2 linked regions of the Drosophila melanogaster genome follow. Changing the gene in region 1 together with any one later gene gives a genetic interaction. Each region holds a gene or a part of one and is shown in the gene's direction. Other genes may lie near its edges.

Region 1 (11,288 bases):
ATAATACTCTGGAAGTCACTTCAACTGAACAAACCGACCAATAAGATAAGATACTCGTTATGGTTGGTTCGATCTGTTACAAAATCAATTTTCAGAAGAGAGTACTTTCAGGTAATCAATTATATGTTCTTTTGCTTAACAAACTACGACTTTTATTTTATCTAACATCTATATGGACAGAAACGATCGTAAGTGCAACCTAAGCAAATAACAGTCGCTTTTGGTACACAGTATTAAATAAACTAACAATTTATGGTCATAGATCGTAAATAACATCGATTAGATCGACTAACCACCGCAGAAGTGTTTCAGATATTTCTTGAATTTACGACCATGTCCACCGAAATGACTGTGAAAAACACAATAGATCCGTGGTGTGTACTACACGATTTTGATAAGATTATCAAGGGATTATAGTGACTGGTAAAATTGAACATTTATAGTAAATATTAAAAAAGGCACTAATCGCGAAACAGTTCGCCAAGTAATTATGTCATAAAAGTAATTGTTAACTACCCCAATTAAAGGCTACTAAAGGCTATTTGAAAATCCGTTAATTGCCCTAAAGCGAATGACTTGTTTCAAGTTCTCAAAATTCGAAAGAGAAACTTACGTTCTGTCCGGCGATATTTCCCAACCAATCGAACGTGACCGGTTCGCCAGCGGTCTGAACTAAAACTGAGAACGCTCGAGTAAGATTGTGCGAGTTTTATAGCCAAGAGCAGAGGAACTGCCCGAGAATCGGCCGGCAATAATGCACTGAGAAAAAATCGAATATGCATGCAATATGTTCATGGCTGATCTGGAAACACACTTGTTTGCTTTATTTTGTTCACTATTTCCCTAAACCCAATTTGTTCTGATATTGAAATCTCTGGAGACATACGAGCAAACGATAATGAAATATAAATATATTTAAACTATAAAAAATAAGTAATAAGCTATGAATCATATAAAACTTCTCGGCATTTTTTTTAGAGTGACTTGGGCTATCTGCCCCTCGACGTGCCCAACGCTAATCGAGTGACCAAACGACTTAATGTCGCCGAGAGAAATGGTCGATAAACTCGAGCATTATTTATTTTTAATGCGAGATCGGCTTAGTCGCGTCTGATGTTTCCAATCCGTCTGGGGTTCTCGGCCAGGTAGGCGCGAAGATAAGCCGATGTTTGGAAGATCATTAATATGCCTGACACATTTCCTCACATTTGGCAAATATTATTGAAGACGCAACGAAAAAAAGACTAAGTCAATAAAAGGTGATAAAACTTGTGATGAAAATAAACTAATGGGCACTTATCTCCCTTTGGGTACAGAAAAAAACATAAGTTGGTGGCCATTGCTCCTTTCACACATTTTATTTATTTGCTAAATATTGCATTTTTTACTTTTTTATTTCTTTCGTTTATATGTGACCCAAATAAAGCACCAAAATTCAAGCAAGAGAATTAATATTGTCAATATTTAAGTATAAGAGGAATTAATTTTGATTCTATTTTATTGCCATTGTAAATTACAGACAAAACTTATACCCTTTTTACATTCGAAATGTAAAATGTCGAGTAATTCGAATAACCCGCCGATGAGACAACAATCGATACCTACAGCGATACCGACAGCGAGTTTTCCAGCACTGAAAAGACTGAGGCGAAACAGCTCTGCATGATGCTATTTAGGCATTGAAATCAACAAATTTACACTAAATGCGACCAATTTTACCTAACACATTCCACATATTGTTGCCTGCTATTTAGCAGCCATTGTTCCAGCCCTTCTGAATTACCCGCCAAAGAAAAAAATCGAACATTGCATGAGCATTGCGGACTGCGCAGTCTGACCGTGCATGCGCCATCTTGTTGTTTAACAAAGGAAGAGCGAAAACGTGAAATTTGCAGAACGACACACCAAACAGAGCAACTAAATCCGCATAAAAGGTAATGCAAATCGCGCAGGTAAACAGTTGATGGACGTCATTTGATTCTACCTGAGCGCTGCTGGCAAAAGTGCATCCAAATAACGCAGCGCAGCAGCGCATCGCATAGTTTTTTTTCGCAATCGCAATTGCTGCAGTATCGAAAATACCAGAGCAGAGAAAAGCAAAAAGGCAAAAGCAAAAAGTATCTGTGTGTGTGTTCAATTGATTATTCAATAAAACGAAACTACGCAATGCGCATGTGTTTGTGTGCGTCACCAGTTGAAACAAAAACAATACAATAACAACAATAAAGTACGCTATTTTATTTCGAAAAACAATTCGTCAGCAGAAAAACGAAAGTCAAGGAACAGCTGGAACATTCAACTATCTAGTGGGTGTTTACTGTATCTCCTCAGTTGGCAGCTGTGTTTACTGTAGCTTTTCAGAACTCTCATATGATATGCTTGGTAATTTGTATGTTTCAGTACCTCGAACAATGGAGGTGACATTCAGCTCGGGCGGATCATCGAACGCCTCCAGCGAGTGCGCCATAGACGGCGGCACGAATCGCTGTCGCGGCTTGGAGCCCAACAATGGAACCTGCATCCTCAGCCAGGAGGTAAAGGATCTTTACAGGTAAGGTGTTAAAGTGAGTGTTACAGGTGGATTACTATAAATCGCATCAAATCGTCCATACAGATCCCTCTACACCGCCTCCAAGCAACTGGACGATGCCAAGAGGAATGTGCAGTCGGTGGGACAGCTGTTCCAGCACGAAATCGAAGAGAAACGCTCGCTCCTAGTGCAGCTGTGCAAGCAGATCATCTTCAAGGACTACCAGTCGGTGGGCAAGAAGGTGCGCGAGGTGATGTGGCGACGTGGATACTACGAGTTCATTGCCTTCGTGAAGAAGAACTGGCACAAGCAGTGCCAGGATGCGGCCACGGCCCAAGAGAACATGCAAAAGCTGGAGCGATTCCTCTGCGCTGGCATCTTCAACTACAAACGATTGTCGGCACGCATGGAAGAGATCTATGATCTGGATCTAAAGTATTTGATTGATTTCTCCATAATCAGTGATGGCTACATAAGCGACATGATCGGAGACACCATGGAGTCATCGCACTCGGGCACCCACGCGGTGGACAAGAGTCTGGAGGCCGTGTCCTTTGCACTCGACACCATACACTCATCGCTGCTCAGTCTGGGCGATCTTCATCGCTACTTTCTAGACTTTCGCATCGACAGCAAACTAAGCATAAGCAAGGAGCAGGTGGCCAAGTATTATCTGGAGGCCTTCAAGCTTAATCCGGCCATTGGCATGGCCCAGAACCAGTTGGGTACACTGCACTACGGACAGAATCATGACCTGGACTCCACTTACCACTACTTGTACTCCCTTGTGTGCATCATACCATTCGAACTAAGCGAAAATAATCTTAACAAGCTGTTCGCCAAGCACACCGAATACCTAGAGCGTATGGATCCAGAAAAACTAGACTTCAACATCGAGGACTTCTTTGCCCGTTTCTATCTGATTGTGGACATATTTTTCTTCGACAAGGAAGTGCCGGACTTTAACGCTCTGTGCCACTGTGTGCTGATTGATCTACGCAAGATCCTGTGCTCCCAGCAGCTGCGCGTTCCGGAGCCAAGCATCTTCAAGATTGTCTCCATTCTGTTCTTCTGTCTGTCCAAGCTTAAGATGATCAACTCACCAAAGGTTTACTCGCTGCACGCCTTTCTGGTTGCTGCCTGTTCCGATCTGATGGACGCCTGCATCGTCAGCATCGAGCAGACAATCCTGGCTCGCGCCCAAGACAACGAGCGCTTCCAGGCGGAGTACGAGGAACGCTTTCAGGAGTTCGATACTGTGGTGCGCAAGTCCCGGAATGAGTACAAGAACTGGCTAGCTGCAGTAGGCGAATGTGAGCGCAAGGACAAGAAGTTGATGCCACGCCCGCACTCTCTAAAGGATTGCAGTTCGGATTCGCGGGACAGCCAGCACTCTGGCGAGGAGGCAAAGACCCAGGAGGCTGCTGACGGCGACAAGATCGGTGAGGCCGTTTCCACGCGCTCCAGTGACGAGGCCAAGGAGTCCGACCTTAAGACCCCGCTCTCCTGCAAGAGCAAGCGACGGGGAATGCGTCTACGCCGCCGACGCCGCAAGATCGCCCAGTCGGACGACAGCTCCTGCTATGACAGCGAAAGCGAACTGGACACAGACTTTTACAGCGACGAGGAGGATTACACAGATCTAAGTTCTAACTTTGACACCGATTTCAGCGACATTGATGCAGCTGATCCTGGGGAGCCATGCGGCGAAGAGCGCTATGCAGCAGGTGAGTCTTTGAAACCCAATTTCCATCTAAGCAAAAGGCTTAAGTTGGAAAACCTTTTTACACTTTTTTCTAAAATCTTACAAATCCTAACAGCTAATTACAGCAAAAAGGAGCGCAAAGCTGGCGGCGGCGGCGGAGGAGGAGTCGGTGGCGTGGTGTACTCCGACAACGAAGACGTTGTTATTGAGGAGGAGAAAATCGTGTATCCCAACGAAGTAGAGCGCAGATCCAACTCACAGGAGGCGGACTCTGAGGAGTTGCTGCGCAGCTTTGAGGTACTGCAGCTGAACTTTAAGAGCGCAGAGGATGCTCAAAGCAAGCCGGTGGCACCTCCGCCCGTCAGCTTTTCAGAGCCACCAAAGAAGCTGGTTTATCGCAACAAGTACACCAAGATCAATCCCAACATAGTCATTGACTGTCTGCACAATGAACCGACCATTAGAGCCCTGAAAATGCTTTTTGACTGGCTGCGAATCAACCCAGAGATTCTCATCGGCTGCTACCACTCGAATCCGGAGTTTGTGCACAAGATCATGAAGCTTCTCAACTACTGCAACATCGACATCTTCACCAGGAAGGTTTACTTCGAGCGCGACCTTCTGACCACTGCCAACGTGCGTGATTCTCTGGTCGAGTTATTCGATGTGCGCGCCAACGTTCCGCTCACCGAGGACTTTGCTTTCAAGAACTTTGACATCTTCCAGAGCACCCAGATTACACTGGACTGGGAGACCATTATCCGGGAGCGTGTCACTCCCCAGGAAGAGTCCATTCTCCGTATTTTCAAAATGGTCGACTTTGGCTTTTTCATTTGCAAGCAGAAGAAGTTTAACTACAGATTCTGCGTCAAGACGCGTCGTTTCACCGAGACCCAAAAGAAGAAACAGCGCGAGGAGAAGAAGGGAGGCGGATCACGTCGCCGCGAGCGTCGTACCGCTCCGAAGACCAACCGAACAAAGCGGAACGAAGGACGCACACGTCGCTACTCCGATCGCAAGAACGGCATCGTCCGCAAGAGCTACACCAGTAACGAGGAAAAGGACACCGTGGAGGAGTGCCGCAAGATGCCACGCAAGGGTTACCTAAGGAATCGCAATGCCGAGAAGGCGGCTGCTGTTATAACCAGTGCCACGGGAACCTCTGTCGCCGGCGGAACCTCCGCCTCCACAACCACAAACAGTGTCATCGAGAAACTGAATTTGCAGTCCAGCTCGGGGGCCGACGAAGAGCGCTCGGAGGCCAAGTCGAAGAAGTGTGAGCTCATGGGCAAGCTGTGGCTGCAAAACGAGGTGGAGACTTTGGAGGAGGAGCTGCGGGACAGTCCCGCTCATGTGGTGATGTCCCCATTTGTGGTGGTCGATTCGAAGGCATTGACCGAATACAATGGCATAGTCAAGTCGCTGGTGAGGACCAAGAAGTGCATTGTCCTCATTCCAAATGCAGGTGAGTGCGCATACCTCCGCGTGGGTTGATAACAAAGTGGAAAGTAACAATGACATAGAATGACGACTTTAGAACTTCAAAATTTAAATAATCTATACAATCTCATATCAACAAGCTTATTACTTTGTGGTATTCCCTGAAATCCAGTGAGCTTTTATAGTAGAACAGATTAGATTCTTAACACTTCTGATATGACGGTAGCTCATTTGATTTGCCTGTTGTTTTCTTTCCAATTGTTTTTATAGTAAAGTGTATTTACAATTAAGAATGTACTTAACCTGTACCCAAGGAGAAAGACCCCATGCTAATCTATTATCATTTCTCATTTAGTGCTCAATGAGTTGGATGACTTGAAGAAACGCAGCGAGAATGTGCGCCATGTCATCCGTTGGCTGGAGCAGGAGTTTAAACAGGGCAATAGGCACTTGCGTGCCCAGCGCGATAACGAAAGTCAGCCGCTATCCCTGCTGAAGATATCACGCAAGATGGGTGAGTTTAGCAAATATTTATCGCACGAGAATTAGCCAGCTAATGGTGTTGTGTTGTTTTTTTTTATTGCTACTTATAGATCGTGACGCCTCAGTTTTCCTTCAAATTGCCCAGTTCTGCAATCACTTGGTGGCCAACCATGCCGATCCGCACGTCAGCGAACTGCAGAAGAGCGTCGTCACGTACTTGTCCGGCGATAATTTGCACGAGAAGAACCGCCAGCAACAGAACTTCAGCTACACCGGCATCCTTGACTCGATACCCGTACGCTATGCCCAAATCCAGAGCTTCTACGCAAAATTTAAGGCCAACAAAAAATGAACGGGCCCAAGTGGAGCGGCAACGGTAGCGGGCGCTAAGGCGGCAAAGGCAACTGCAGACCAAATGCAATGCGAGCTAAAAAGGGTGCGAGCGTGTTCTCTCTGTACAACCACAAATCGACATGGAGTTCCAAAGTTAACGATGGCCGTGGACGACGGCAAAACCAAACCAGCAATCGCTGCTGCAGCTTCGGTTGTGGCCGTGTTTTCCCCAAAAAAAAACTGAAACTGAAACTGTTACCATCAGCCGGAGCAAGATTCCGCCAGCCTAGCCTGTGCAGCAGCAGCATTGCGAATTTGCTTGTTGTGTTTAGACCAAACTAAAACAAAATACCAATCAAAATCGTTCACTTTCAACTCGATGGCTACAATGATGACGACCTCCCAGCAAATGTTAAGTGGACAATGGCAAACGCACAATCATCAACAAAAATTCTTAAGAGAAAAAAATCGTAAAAAAAAAATATCAATCAATCGAACAACTTTTCAAGATAACGACAGGCATGACCTGAGCGGTTCACGGACAGAAGATCTTCGTGGAACAGTTGGGAGAGCGGAATGACGGCGACCAGGACGGATCGACCTTCTAATCGGTTATTTGCTTGATGTACCATGTCGTATTCAAGATTTCGCATTTCCTGTGTCGGGCTGGACTATGGATCCAAAAACTCTTGATCTTTCCTGCAGTTGTGTTTCGTTCTCGGTTTTGCAGACAGAGTTTATTTAAATTTTCACGCTTCTGACTAGGCAATCCGCGTGATCCTCTTCGCAAGAACAAAGTATATGGTATACATATATATATATATAAAACTTACATTTTAATGCAGTCCCTAAAAACTCTCTCTTGTGGTTCACCAATGCAATTTCCCATTACAAAATAAAGGAAAGTGCCGCACATATGTCAACAAAATTCTACGTCATTCTAAATGTTTCCAAAATTGAAAGTTATGTTACATTTTGTTTGAATAATAAAGCGCCCAACCACAAAAAAATGTTGTTTTATTATGGTTTTCATTAAAACAGCTTTTGGTTGACATATCAGAACTGGAAAAACAGGACATTTAATGGTATATACTCTTCACTTTCCTCGTGAAATCAAACACACAGTTTAAAATGTTTAATAGATTTTTATTGAAGGGGTTTTTTTCTTTTGTGGTTTTTGTGTGCTACTTTTCCTTCCAATTAGATTGAGTTTGTCACGTTTTGTGGTTTGTAATTCGTACAAATAGCGTACACAATACATAGGGGTGTATACATATAGTAATATTTAGATTGATTTATAACTATTTTGTATAATAGTTTTGAAATACTTTCAATTAAATTTTTGTCTACCCAGATTCCGTCATACAATCAGAATCCAATTTTTTCCGCAGTATAATATCTAAAACGAGTTATTTCTGTTTGGAATTTATATAGCAAAGAATTTTGTGATTTTGGTTCTGCATAAGCTACATTTTGGGCGTGTTCATTTGTTTAAACCGATTATCAAGCAATTTCAACTATGTATGTATATAATGTATATATATATATATGTTCGTGTATATTGTTTAGCATAAGTTTGTTTTTGGCTTTAATCTTAGATTCATTTCGTTTATACGTATATTTTGCATCAGCTTTTATCTATTGTTTAGGTTGTATAAGTATGTTTTTTGTTACGTGAAGTCTTTTGCAATCTGCTGATGGTTGTCGAAAGTTACAATAGCTACTAAATAATTGTTTTGCAAACGATTTAAAAACCTGCACACTATAAAAAAAAAACAATAATAATAGTTTCACGTAATACGAAAATAATAAATTATACACTTGAGATTACAACAAGGCTGTACAGGTTTCCATGTCTTAAGAACTAAACAAACTAAAAGAAAACATAAATAAAACTTGTGAATTTCCATTCAACACTTGCCAAATAATAATAATATTAAACATTTGCACAACATTCCTAAAACCTAAACACTAAACGCTATACATTTTTTACGCTCGAATTTAAACTAAGTCCGTCATGAACAACAAAAACTAATGAATTGTACAACTGTTATGAAAATTCACGCTTATCTTATTTCAATTTTAACTAATTCAGATCACACCCGACACCGACTTCTCGTACGGAGTGCCTAACGTGTCACGTCTCCTAGGCAAAGTGCCACTGGCCGTCAGAGGAGCCGCCTCTGGACAGCCCAGTCCCTCGAGCAGCTCCACCAGCGCCGTCGTGTCCTCGACATTGTATTGGGGAGCAGGAATGCCACCGTTTGTGGGCGGAGCAGGAGCCGGAATCGTTGTGCCCGCCTGCGCAGCTGCAGCGGCTTTGATCGACTTGGCGGTGGCCAGGGATTGTGCCGCTCGAGCGTAGGCCAGGCAGGTGCGACCCTCATGATCCGTGTGCTTAATGTTTGCGCCATTCTGGAAGGAGCAATACGTACGTATTAACAACTGATTCACTTGATTTGGTCTCCAGTTAACTTACCCATATGAGCAGCTGTGCTATGGCCAGATTGCCTATGGCACAGGCAAGCAGCAGCGGAGTTCGCACATCTCTTGCGCTGACATTCGCATTGGTCACCTCGGACGGACAATTGGCCAAGATCGAAACGATCGACTTGATGTCCGCCCTGATCACAGCCTCGATCAACTGCTGACCCGGACTTGGGCTTGGATGCGCTGAGGATCCGTTGCCCAGTGGCGTCAGGAACTCCTTGGCCTCGTACTTGCTGCGCACCCATCGCTCTTTGTCCTCGCGACTGGCCTGCGAAGTGGGCTTGACCCGCTGCCGCGTGTTCGACTCCCAAACCGAGTTGGCCAGACTGTTGCCAATGGCCAGCATCACACTGAGATGCGGGGATCTGGTGGAGTAAAAAATTATATGTTAGAATAATGATAAGCAGGCAAATTAAAAATAAACTTACGGCCAGTCATCCAGGCCCAGAGAGCGAACCTTGGATATGTGCGAGCCAAGATTGCGATGCACGCCCGAGCACTCGATGCACATGAGTACGCCCAAGTTTAAGCTAGCCCATTCAGGATCTGGAAGGAGTAAAGCAGAAGGATTAGTAAATGTACAACGCACCCGATTTAAAGTTAAACTCACTTGGCGCTCCACAGTCGACGCAGAAGCCGTTGCCAGGAACCCGCTGACGGATGGCCAGCATGGCAGCGAGATCAGTGCTGGTGGCCTGTTTGGTCTTGCTGCTCTCGATGCTCTGCAGGCTCTTGAAGATCTCCTGCTCGACGGCCGCTACCCACTCGTCGCGCTCCTCGGAATTGGCAGCCTCAAAGTGCCACTGCTTGGAGTCCAGCGATACGATGTAGAATTCATAGCCATCGTTGTCGTCCGCCTCGTTCGCCTTGACACTGCTGCTCTTCATGCGGCGATGTCGCTTCTTCACGTTCGGCGTCTGGGCCTCCAGCTTATTTCCCGCATTGGCCACTTCTCCGGCGATAAAAGTCTGTGAATTTGAATTGGACATGGCTATGCCCTCGTCACCGCTCGTCTGCTGTGAGCTATTCGACTTCAAAGGCTCTCCACCGGCACCAGCTGCAATGGATCCGGCTCCGAGTAGGGATAATTTCTCGCTCAGCTTGCGCTGATTGTCCTTGGCCAGGGTGAGACAACCGATGCCATCGCTCAGAGTGTTCTGAGCTCTTTGGCCATTGGCCATCAGTGAACTGGTGAGCGCACTGTTCGTGATTATGCTCTTGGAGCCACGAGGTTTCTGTCCCGGCACCTTTACGGTGACGTACTGCAGCGGAATCTCCTTGCCGTGCACATCGTCCATATAGTCGTGCAAAGAGGGATGATAGGTAAGCCTGCCGTCGTCGCACAGGGTCACATACTTCTTCTTCCACTCCTTGTTCAAGGATTTGCTAGAGCGTTTGTACAGGTAGCCCTGTTTAATGGGTATGGAACGTCCACTGCCCAGTTCACTGCTCTTTGGCTCCTTCTCCTTGTCGGCCTTCTTCGAAGAGGAGGGGATGAAGAGGTTCGAACGCCGCCGGCTCTTGCGGCTCGTCGTGGGCGTCGAGGTGGGTGTGGGCAGCTCCTTACCCGGTGGTGGCGCCAGATCACGTGGATCGCGCAACTGCACCTGGGAGCAATCACCCTGCAGCGAATTGGCCGCTCCGGGATTGTATTTGGTGATGTTGTTATTCTCGTTTATGGTGGAACTGCTGGCCGCTTGCAGCGACCAAAGTTTCTGCTCCGCCTGTGCGAAATCCGCACTCATTCGCAGTGGTAGCTGCTGCTGGCCACGTTGTCCATTGGTGGGCGCCTGGTAGGGAGCCAATCCCAGGCGATTGCCCTGCGGAGTCGTGGGTCTCGCCGGTTGCACCTGTGGTGGCAAAGGCAGGCGCTGCGAGAGGATCTTTTGACAGGCTGAAAAGGATTAAATTACATTTGATTACTCGTCTGTGATTATGCTATTTGAGTTCGGGCTACTTACCATCCTGAAAGACACGCTCCACATTCAGGCCGTAGGTGGCGCAGGTCTCGTAGTAGGAGCAACGCTTCAGATCGCTGGCCAATTTCCTGGCACGGGTGTCGTCAATCACGCGAGGATTGCGCTCGCTGATGGCGTCTATATAGATAATATTAATAAATAATGTAATAATGAGTTATATAAGAAACGAAAATGTTTATATTCTTATTATAGGCTATTTACCTTGCGTTCCGACCAATATCATGGGTATTTCCTGGCCATTACGAAAATGCGCCATTTTCGTATAGTAGTTATAGACGGTATTGAAGCTGCCCTCGTTCTCCAGGCTGAACACAAAGATTACCGCATC
Region 2 (7,386 bases), on another chromosome or scaffold:
AGAACTGAACGCTCGGGCCGGTTTGTCCCGGTGTTTTTATCTCGCTCTCGCCAGCGTGCTCGATTTGTTTTTTCCCATTTCGGGCAATTTGTTTGGGCCAACTTCTTTTTACCTTTGTATCGAGCGGCCTACAAAGAGCAGCTTGACTTTTTCGACTTTTTTGACTTTGTCGAGTTTTTCAACAACACAGAGCTTTTGGCACTGCGCTGGCGCTCAGATTGTGGCTATCGTACTTGGCGGCGGCACTATGGTGACTCAAAGTCGCGCTCCACAAATGCCATCGAGTTATCCCTAATGACTATTTTATAATTTATGCGACTTAATTGTTTAGCGTATTACATAAATATTGCGTGTAATATTCAGACGTTTGCCAACACTTCAGTGCGGAAGAAACAGCTGTGAGCGTGTTTTGTTTACAGGGAAGAAGAAGCATAATTGAGTGCAAGAAAAGCTCTGCCGGCGAAAAAAGCACTAATCGGGTAAAAGCTTAGGAATCGAAAGAGCCAGAGAGAACTTGACAGAGCTGTCATCCGGCGCGAACAAATCGAACCGGTTATGTCAGATAGAAATTTTAAAAATTTTCTTTGTAAATAAATAAAAATCGAAGTATCTGTAAACATATACATTGAAATTACCTGAGCTCTAGTAACAACTCTTTAAAAAGTAGAGAACCTTACAATTGGAATATATAACGAAATACACACATTTTGCGGAAATGTTATGGCTTTCTTTCAGTTTCAGCTTTGTTTGCCCTCCTTTTTTTTTAATTTCACCAGGTTCTCAAAACAAGTTTACCATCGTGCAAAGAATTCAGCCCTGCAAGTGATGTACATCTGCCCACCAGCGAGCAGCTGAATCATTTCGCCATTATTCGAAAGGCGCTGCCAAATGTTTCGCAATATTATTTAATGCGAGACAAGACCTAATTATTTGGAAAGAACGTTGCTCGCTCAGATAACCGAAACTCCCTTGCCAAAAGCCCCACGATAAATAAGAGAATACATTATGGTATCTGGTTTGGAGTGGGAAAAACCACGCATCGAAAAAATAAACTGCACTGCATTGGGGGTTTTTCGCAGAGAACTCTTTTGGAAACTGGGTTTTCCCTGCAGCCAATCGCAGCCAAATGGGAAATCCCCCAGCATAGCCGCACTGCATACAAAATTGCACCTTGGAGACCTCCACGCCGGCGCGAGATATCTCGTTTTCCAGCGTGATGCTGGTGCACGTGAGGATTCGGGCGGCATTCATCGGCCATTCATGGTGGCTTGGTGACCGGTTGCAGGTACTCAGACTTGCGGACTTTGGACCGGCCTAAAATGGAATGCCGATAGCCGAATGCCGAATGTGGGGGAACTCTTCAAAAACCAGTTCCCACTCTCTTTTGACTCTTTGACTCATTTGGCTCTTCGCTTGGCATTTGGGTTTCGGTTTGGGTTTGGGCCCAGTTTAGTGCTGCGCCGGCGTGACTCAGCAGTGGGGCAACCGCCGGCGAAGTGCCTCCGATCCATGCCCGATCACTCCGTGGGCTCCACGATTCTCCCTCGAAATAAGCCAGCAATGAAATCCATCCAATGTGGTGGCTTCACATGTGATGGGCGCATGTTGCACACACAACTGGGTGGCATGGCACACAAAAGCAACGGGCAGAGGTGCCATTGAAGTCCCACGCAAAAGGCTAAAAATATCTGAATTCCTTGGGTTCGATTGTGACGTGCGGATCAAGCTGGATGAAGAACCAAAACTTCTAATCCGCACGTTCGCCGCAGCAATAGAAAATGCTGTAGTGGTGCCCTTTATGCACTTGTGACAACTCGAATTCCGCGCTGGAATGACAAGGCAATAGTTTTATTTTCTGTCACTGCAAATGCGTATTTAAGTAATAGATATGCATATTTGTTATAAAACAAGCTAAAATGGTACTCACTAGTATGATTATCTTGAAAAATATCACATGGGGTTAGAAACGGTAAAATAAGCAATTTTTAAGTACTACGATTAGTATAATTTGCGTATATGCGTATAATTTTTATGAATGGGTCAATTATTAAGCATAACAAATATAAAATATGCTTTTTATAATGATATTTTCATAATTACAAGTATTGGGCGAACAGATGACCAATGATGTCTGTCCGGTTTTAGCTAGAAAACCCCCAAAATGCCACTGCATTTCCGCGGTTCATTGGCCACTTTCGAGGCGAATTTGGCGCGCAAATTCGTAGCTGAGTCGGCGATTTCCAACTTTCAGCACTTCCGCGGCTGATCCACTTACTACAGGTATGCCCCTCATAAGCACGACAGTTGTTTATGTTTTCGGGTCTAAATACATGCATAGGTCAGTAATTCGAATCACCCTACTCTTAATCATAGTAGTATGTTATTGAAAGACCAGAAGCTTCTTCAAATTGCATGCACATATATATGTACATATTTACATACATATGTTATTGTTATGATCATGGGCTGACTATCAGCTTGGTTGGGTTGAGTTAAACATATCACCTGCCCAGATGCACAGATGAAAACAAGTGATCTTAACCTAAATATAACCCTTCTTATTTTGCCTTCTTTAGGGTTGTATACTTTTCATAGCTTTTTACTTTTTTTGTCGTAAATCTTGCTGAATTACATGCTGCAGCTGCCCAGGAATTGTTTTCAATTCTACGCTGCACGCTCAGCAGTTTGTTCAACTCCAAAAAACCAAAACACATGTATGTATGTATGTACATACATATGTAGGCATCGATTTTCAGGTGCTATTTATAGCCTTAACAAAACCTGCGAACCTATGCTGATTCGGCGATTAAAGTAATAATTAATTACTAAAGTGCACGGCCAGCGGTAGTTGAACCCCTTAGGAGAAGCGAGCTGGAAATTCCGCCGGATGGCGTAGTTCTCGGGTTCAATTGATAAAACTCAGTGGCGATCTCGACTGGCGATTCCGACACGTTCCCACGTGCCGAATGTGCAGCGCGGAGGGGGGGAATTTAAAATTGGAATGCCGCGATAAATTGATTAGCAACTCCCTTTGTGTTTGGACATGCGATTCTGTTTGTCCGGCCGTCTGGCCAAATGCAAAAAGAATAAGATCGTGCGAAGCCTGGCCAGAAATAAAATTCGGGTTAACTTGGGTAAGTAAGGTCATTCGTTAATCATACGCCTAGTATACGCGAGTTGCGCATACGTCGCGTTGGTCGCCGAGATGCGACACACTTGGACCTGTTGCTCGCCATCAGCCATCAGGTATTAGTGGTCCATTCACGGGGTTCTGGCGAAATGTATGTACTAAATTTAAGAAAACCGTTCAAGTGAAATTTATTTACGAATTTTTGTTCGAATTTTGATGAGCAAATTGCGATTTACTCAAAGCATGTTCGCACACGATTTTTTCGCGCGAAAGATAATGAAAGCGAAGCTCTTACTTAAGGGAGACACTTTCCCTGCCTTTGCGAGTGGGAGAGCCGAGTTTCCGGGGGAGCCAAGTTTCCTGACCCCATTTGGAGCGTCCAAAACTGCAGATTGCAGTTTGGGTGTGATGGAAAGAAACCCCCAATCTGCTAATTGCCGCGACATCAACGGAAATCTTTCGGATCCCAAAAAAAGTAATGAAAAAACCCGATTTGGCTGAAAGAGCGCAAGAGCGGGAGAGCGAGCCCCCCTAAAAAGCTCTCGCTCTCGCATTTCTGATGAAATTCAGTGGAATTCTCAGGCGGCGGAGAGCGCGGCTATAAAAGCGTTCGCTCGCCAACCGAAAGCATTCATTGTGAAATTGCCACTCAAAATTGAAACAGCGCGGACAAACGGTTGAAGAAACACAAAGCCCAGTGCGAAAAGAATTTCATAAGCAAAAGTTAATCGGGTGCTAAACAAAAACACTCGAAAGCAAAGCAAAGCATAGCAAAAGCAACAACAAACAGTGCCAGCTGAAAGTGCCCAAAAAGTGGAAGCCAACGGCTCGAAAATAACACAAAACCCAAAGCAAACGCACAACCAAACGGATAACACCCACAATATGGTCGTCGAGGAGAACTGCAGCATGCACCACCTGGAGCGCGAACTGGACCTGGAGCTAGAGATCGATATGGCCATGGAGTGTGCCCCCATCGGACGCACCATCAAGTCGGCCCTTCTAAGGGCCCAGAGCGAGGCGCGTGTGATCGTGGGCCTGTCCGCCGCCATCAACGTGCTCTCCAAGTCGCCGGAGGGATCCCTCTTCTGCCTGATGGCCCAGCCCAAGGACGGCGACTCTGCCACCCACATGCACGAGGTACTGCTGGAGGCCTTTTGCTACGAGAACGACATCTACGTGATCAAGGTGGACGACGCCACCAAGCTGAGCCGCATCCTCGGCCAGGACTCCGTCGAGTCGTGCTGCCTGGTCCAGAAGGTCTGGGCCGACGCCCCCGAGGAGCAGCTGACCAAGGCCGAGAACCAGCTAGTCGACTACTGCGAGGCCCACTGGGACGCCCCCCAGCAGCCCATTGTCCAGCTGCCGGCTGTGTAGGCGCGTGTGAGCGGGACAGCCAGATGTCACAGAATTGAATGGCCCCGCACAGTGGGCGCAAGCAAACTCTAATGGAAACCAGTTGCTGGGGGTTGATGGCCCCGAACGTCTTGGAGAGTTCCCGAGGGAATCCGACGTTTCGTGGCGCTGCCAGAAGCCCACCGGCACATGTACACCTACATAGGATATATAGAATACGACATATGTATATACCCTAACCTGCTGTATTCAGGAAGCAGGAGAGGGAGGAGGGGAGCAGAGATGGATAAGCCGGCGCCTTGGCGGATAATTGAAACTGAAAGGCGACCTTCGAGGCGGCAGTAACTGCAGCTGAGATACCCGCGGAAGTCGCGCACAGATACTCACGCACACAGCCAAGGAGCAGCATCACACACAAGCGCGTGACCAGCTGCCGAACCAACAAAACATATGTGCACATATGTACACAGAACCATACATAAATATAGCCAATTTGTTTCTGTATAATTTTCGCTTTAAGCGTCGCGCAAATTTACTGATAATGACAATTATTCTGTACGCCGTAAATTGTAAATTATACTTAAAAGGAGAGCAGCCAATTGCATGTATACCATTAAAGTTTTGTTATGTTAGCTTTTCCAAAAAAAAAACATCAGATGAAAGCACACAAAAAAATGTTATCTAACTTAAGCACAAAAAGAAAATTGAAAAAGGTTTGAAAAAAACTGATAAAAAATGAAAAATAAAAATCTTGTATAAAAACCAAACTTTCTTCGTCTTGTTTTTTGCCCATCCCTTTCAGCACTCTCTTCCAGCAATCCAAACTGACGTCAATGGGTACAAATCCCTTGGATTTGGATCGGGAGGCCGCCCGACTCATCAATCTTTGCATAACTGCCGGGGTTTCCCCATCGAGCGTGCCTTGCATATAGGGCCCCATCGGACGCCTTATCAATGAATTCTCGGAACCCAGTGGAATGGAAAACACGCGTGAGCGCCGAAATCGGGGCCATCCATCTGGGGGAGACTGGGAGAAGCCCTCGGCTCGAAGTATGCAGTTTTATCAACTTAGATAATGGGTGCGAGAATAGTCAGTTTGCCTAGTTAATTGTTCCCATCACTGATCAGTGGGAAAGTCAATTAGAAGTATGGGTCATGCTTATAGGGGGAAAAAAGTAAAGCACCGTGGAGCACTTGAGTTAATCAGAGTCAATGGGCGTTATAAAAATCGTACTGGGATATTTACGATCCAATGAACGAGACAATTTCATACGAGACCCACTTTGTTTCATTTGCGAACACGCTCGCGATCATGCCAATTGACTTGGCCAACCAGACAGATGTTGAGCATCGAGACACGTTAATGTAATCAATGCCAGACATCGCGCTATGTTGGCCTAATGGATGGATGGACCGGACAGCAGAGACAATAAATAGATAGCCCATCGCACGGAGGAGCTGCCATGCGAGCAGCTCGTGCCGTGGGAAAATCACTGGGAAGAGTTTGCCACTGATTAGGACCATTAGCATGGATCCATGTGGCCAAGACATAGGTCAGTTCGGCGGATCGTCTGGACACGACGCGATGCGATCGGGCGGAGATAATTTGGAACAGTTTAGCGCCTGTTCCAGTCAAATTTTCCGTCTTTCCGAAACAAGACTTTAAAATGTGGTTAGTTATGGCCTTAACGTGATAATCATAATCATCCTCTAGTAGAACTCTGTTTGGAGTAGCAATTCATTATGTATTGCCAAGTCATCGGTTAGCACAATTACATAATATTGAGCAACTTATTCGTTTTTTTCAGATCGATATACTTCAATTGCATACTTCGATATTTATTGTTCCACTTTAGAGAATATTGTTTGATTAGCTTGTCCATTGCACAATTGGATAACTGCATCGGTTCGAGGCGGTTTCAGATTGCCTATGCCCTTCTAATTATCACTTCTCCTATTGTCTCAGTGCATTTCAGCGACCTGGTGCGACATCCAATTGGGTTAATTGCCGGGTGTTCGGCAAAATCCAAGTGATCTGTTAGCGCTACTTACACAAGCCATCCCCACTTAATCATCGCCGCGTGTACTTTACCCCGATCCAGCGAAACGAGCGTGAATTCCAAAGAACGACCAGAGTGCTCAATGCCAATTCCGATTCGGCCAAGTCACTGCGAGTTGGGTAACGAGCCATGCGGCCATTGACTGGCCAATTGAAGCTTTGGCTTTGGCTTTGGCTTGGGGCCAAGCTTTCCCCGCCAGCTGGACAACTGGAAAAGGGGAAGTTTGGACCCGAGACCAGACTCATGCAAACATGATCATCTGCGAGCGTGACTTGGCGGATTCCCGGGGGCGGACGGAGTGCAAGCTTCAGAGATTCGCCTCTACCGGCGACGTCGTCGAAGGTATATATGATTCATATTGGTTTATAGCGGTGCTAGCCCCGCCAGCTGGAAATTAGCATAATTCTCAATGCGAATCAAAACGATTCGGAATGCCCCGCTCGATACTCGAACTCATACTCATATACTCACACTCGACTTACAACCTGTTGGCAAACTAGTTTCGGATTCGTGCGACAGGCCAAAGTTTCTGTTTCTGCCAACCTGCACATGTGATTGTCATGAGCGCGTGCTGAAGGCCCAGCGTGAAAACCCCTCCTCCTCCATCATCTTTTCTGGGTGGTGGTAAGCCGATGCAATGGTAGTATCTGGCCGGGATCAGGAACAAATATGTTGTCTTCGGGCGAATCGAAAACAAGGTGTTGTTATTATTAATTCGATTTACGCGTTAGCTGGCATTTAAGCGCGCGTTGAGCGACGCGGATTTCCCCGTAGGCGTGTAGCACCATGGTTATGCGGAATCACAGCCGCTTATCACTCTGTTTTGAGTTCCAGTCCGGC

The links.
Region 2: of Smg5 (region 1) and Gadd45, changing one suppresses a phenotype caused by changing the other (phenotypic suppression), as found in Drosophila melanogaster (one study listed by BioGRID).

The regions. Positions count from the first base shown.
Region 1 is NT_033779.5:13,895,044-13,906,331, reverse strand, and holds Smg5 (Smg5 nonsense mediated mRNA decay factor), read left to right. Parts: upstream 1-1,855; 5' UTR 1,856-2,125; exon of another isoform or gene 2,126-2,227; intron 2,228-2,400; 5' UTR 2,401-2,411; coding exon 2,412-2,551; intron 2,552-2,614; coding exon 2,615-4,257; intron 4,258-4,350; coding exon 4,351-5,700; intron 5,701-6,030; coding exon 6,031-6,189; intron 6,190-6,268; coding exon 6,269-6,510; 3' UTR 6,511-7,504; downstream 7,505-11,288. Other genes in the region: CenG1A (centaurin gamma 1A), read right to left, coding at 8,583-8,906, 8,971-9,346, 9,410-9,527, 9,592-10,875, 10,943-11,077, 11,162-11,288.
Region 2 is NT_033778.4:7,245,406-7,252,791, forward strand, and holds Gadd45 (growth arrest and DNA damage-inducible 45), read left to right. Parts: upstream 1-3,755; 5' UTR 3,756-4,015; coding exon 4,016-4,507; 3' UTR 4,508-5,250; downstream 5,251-7,386.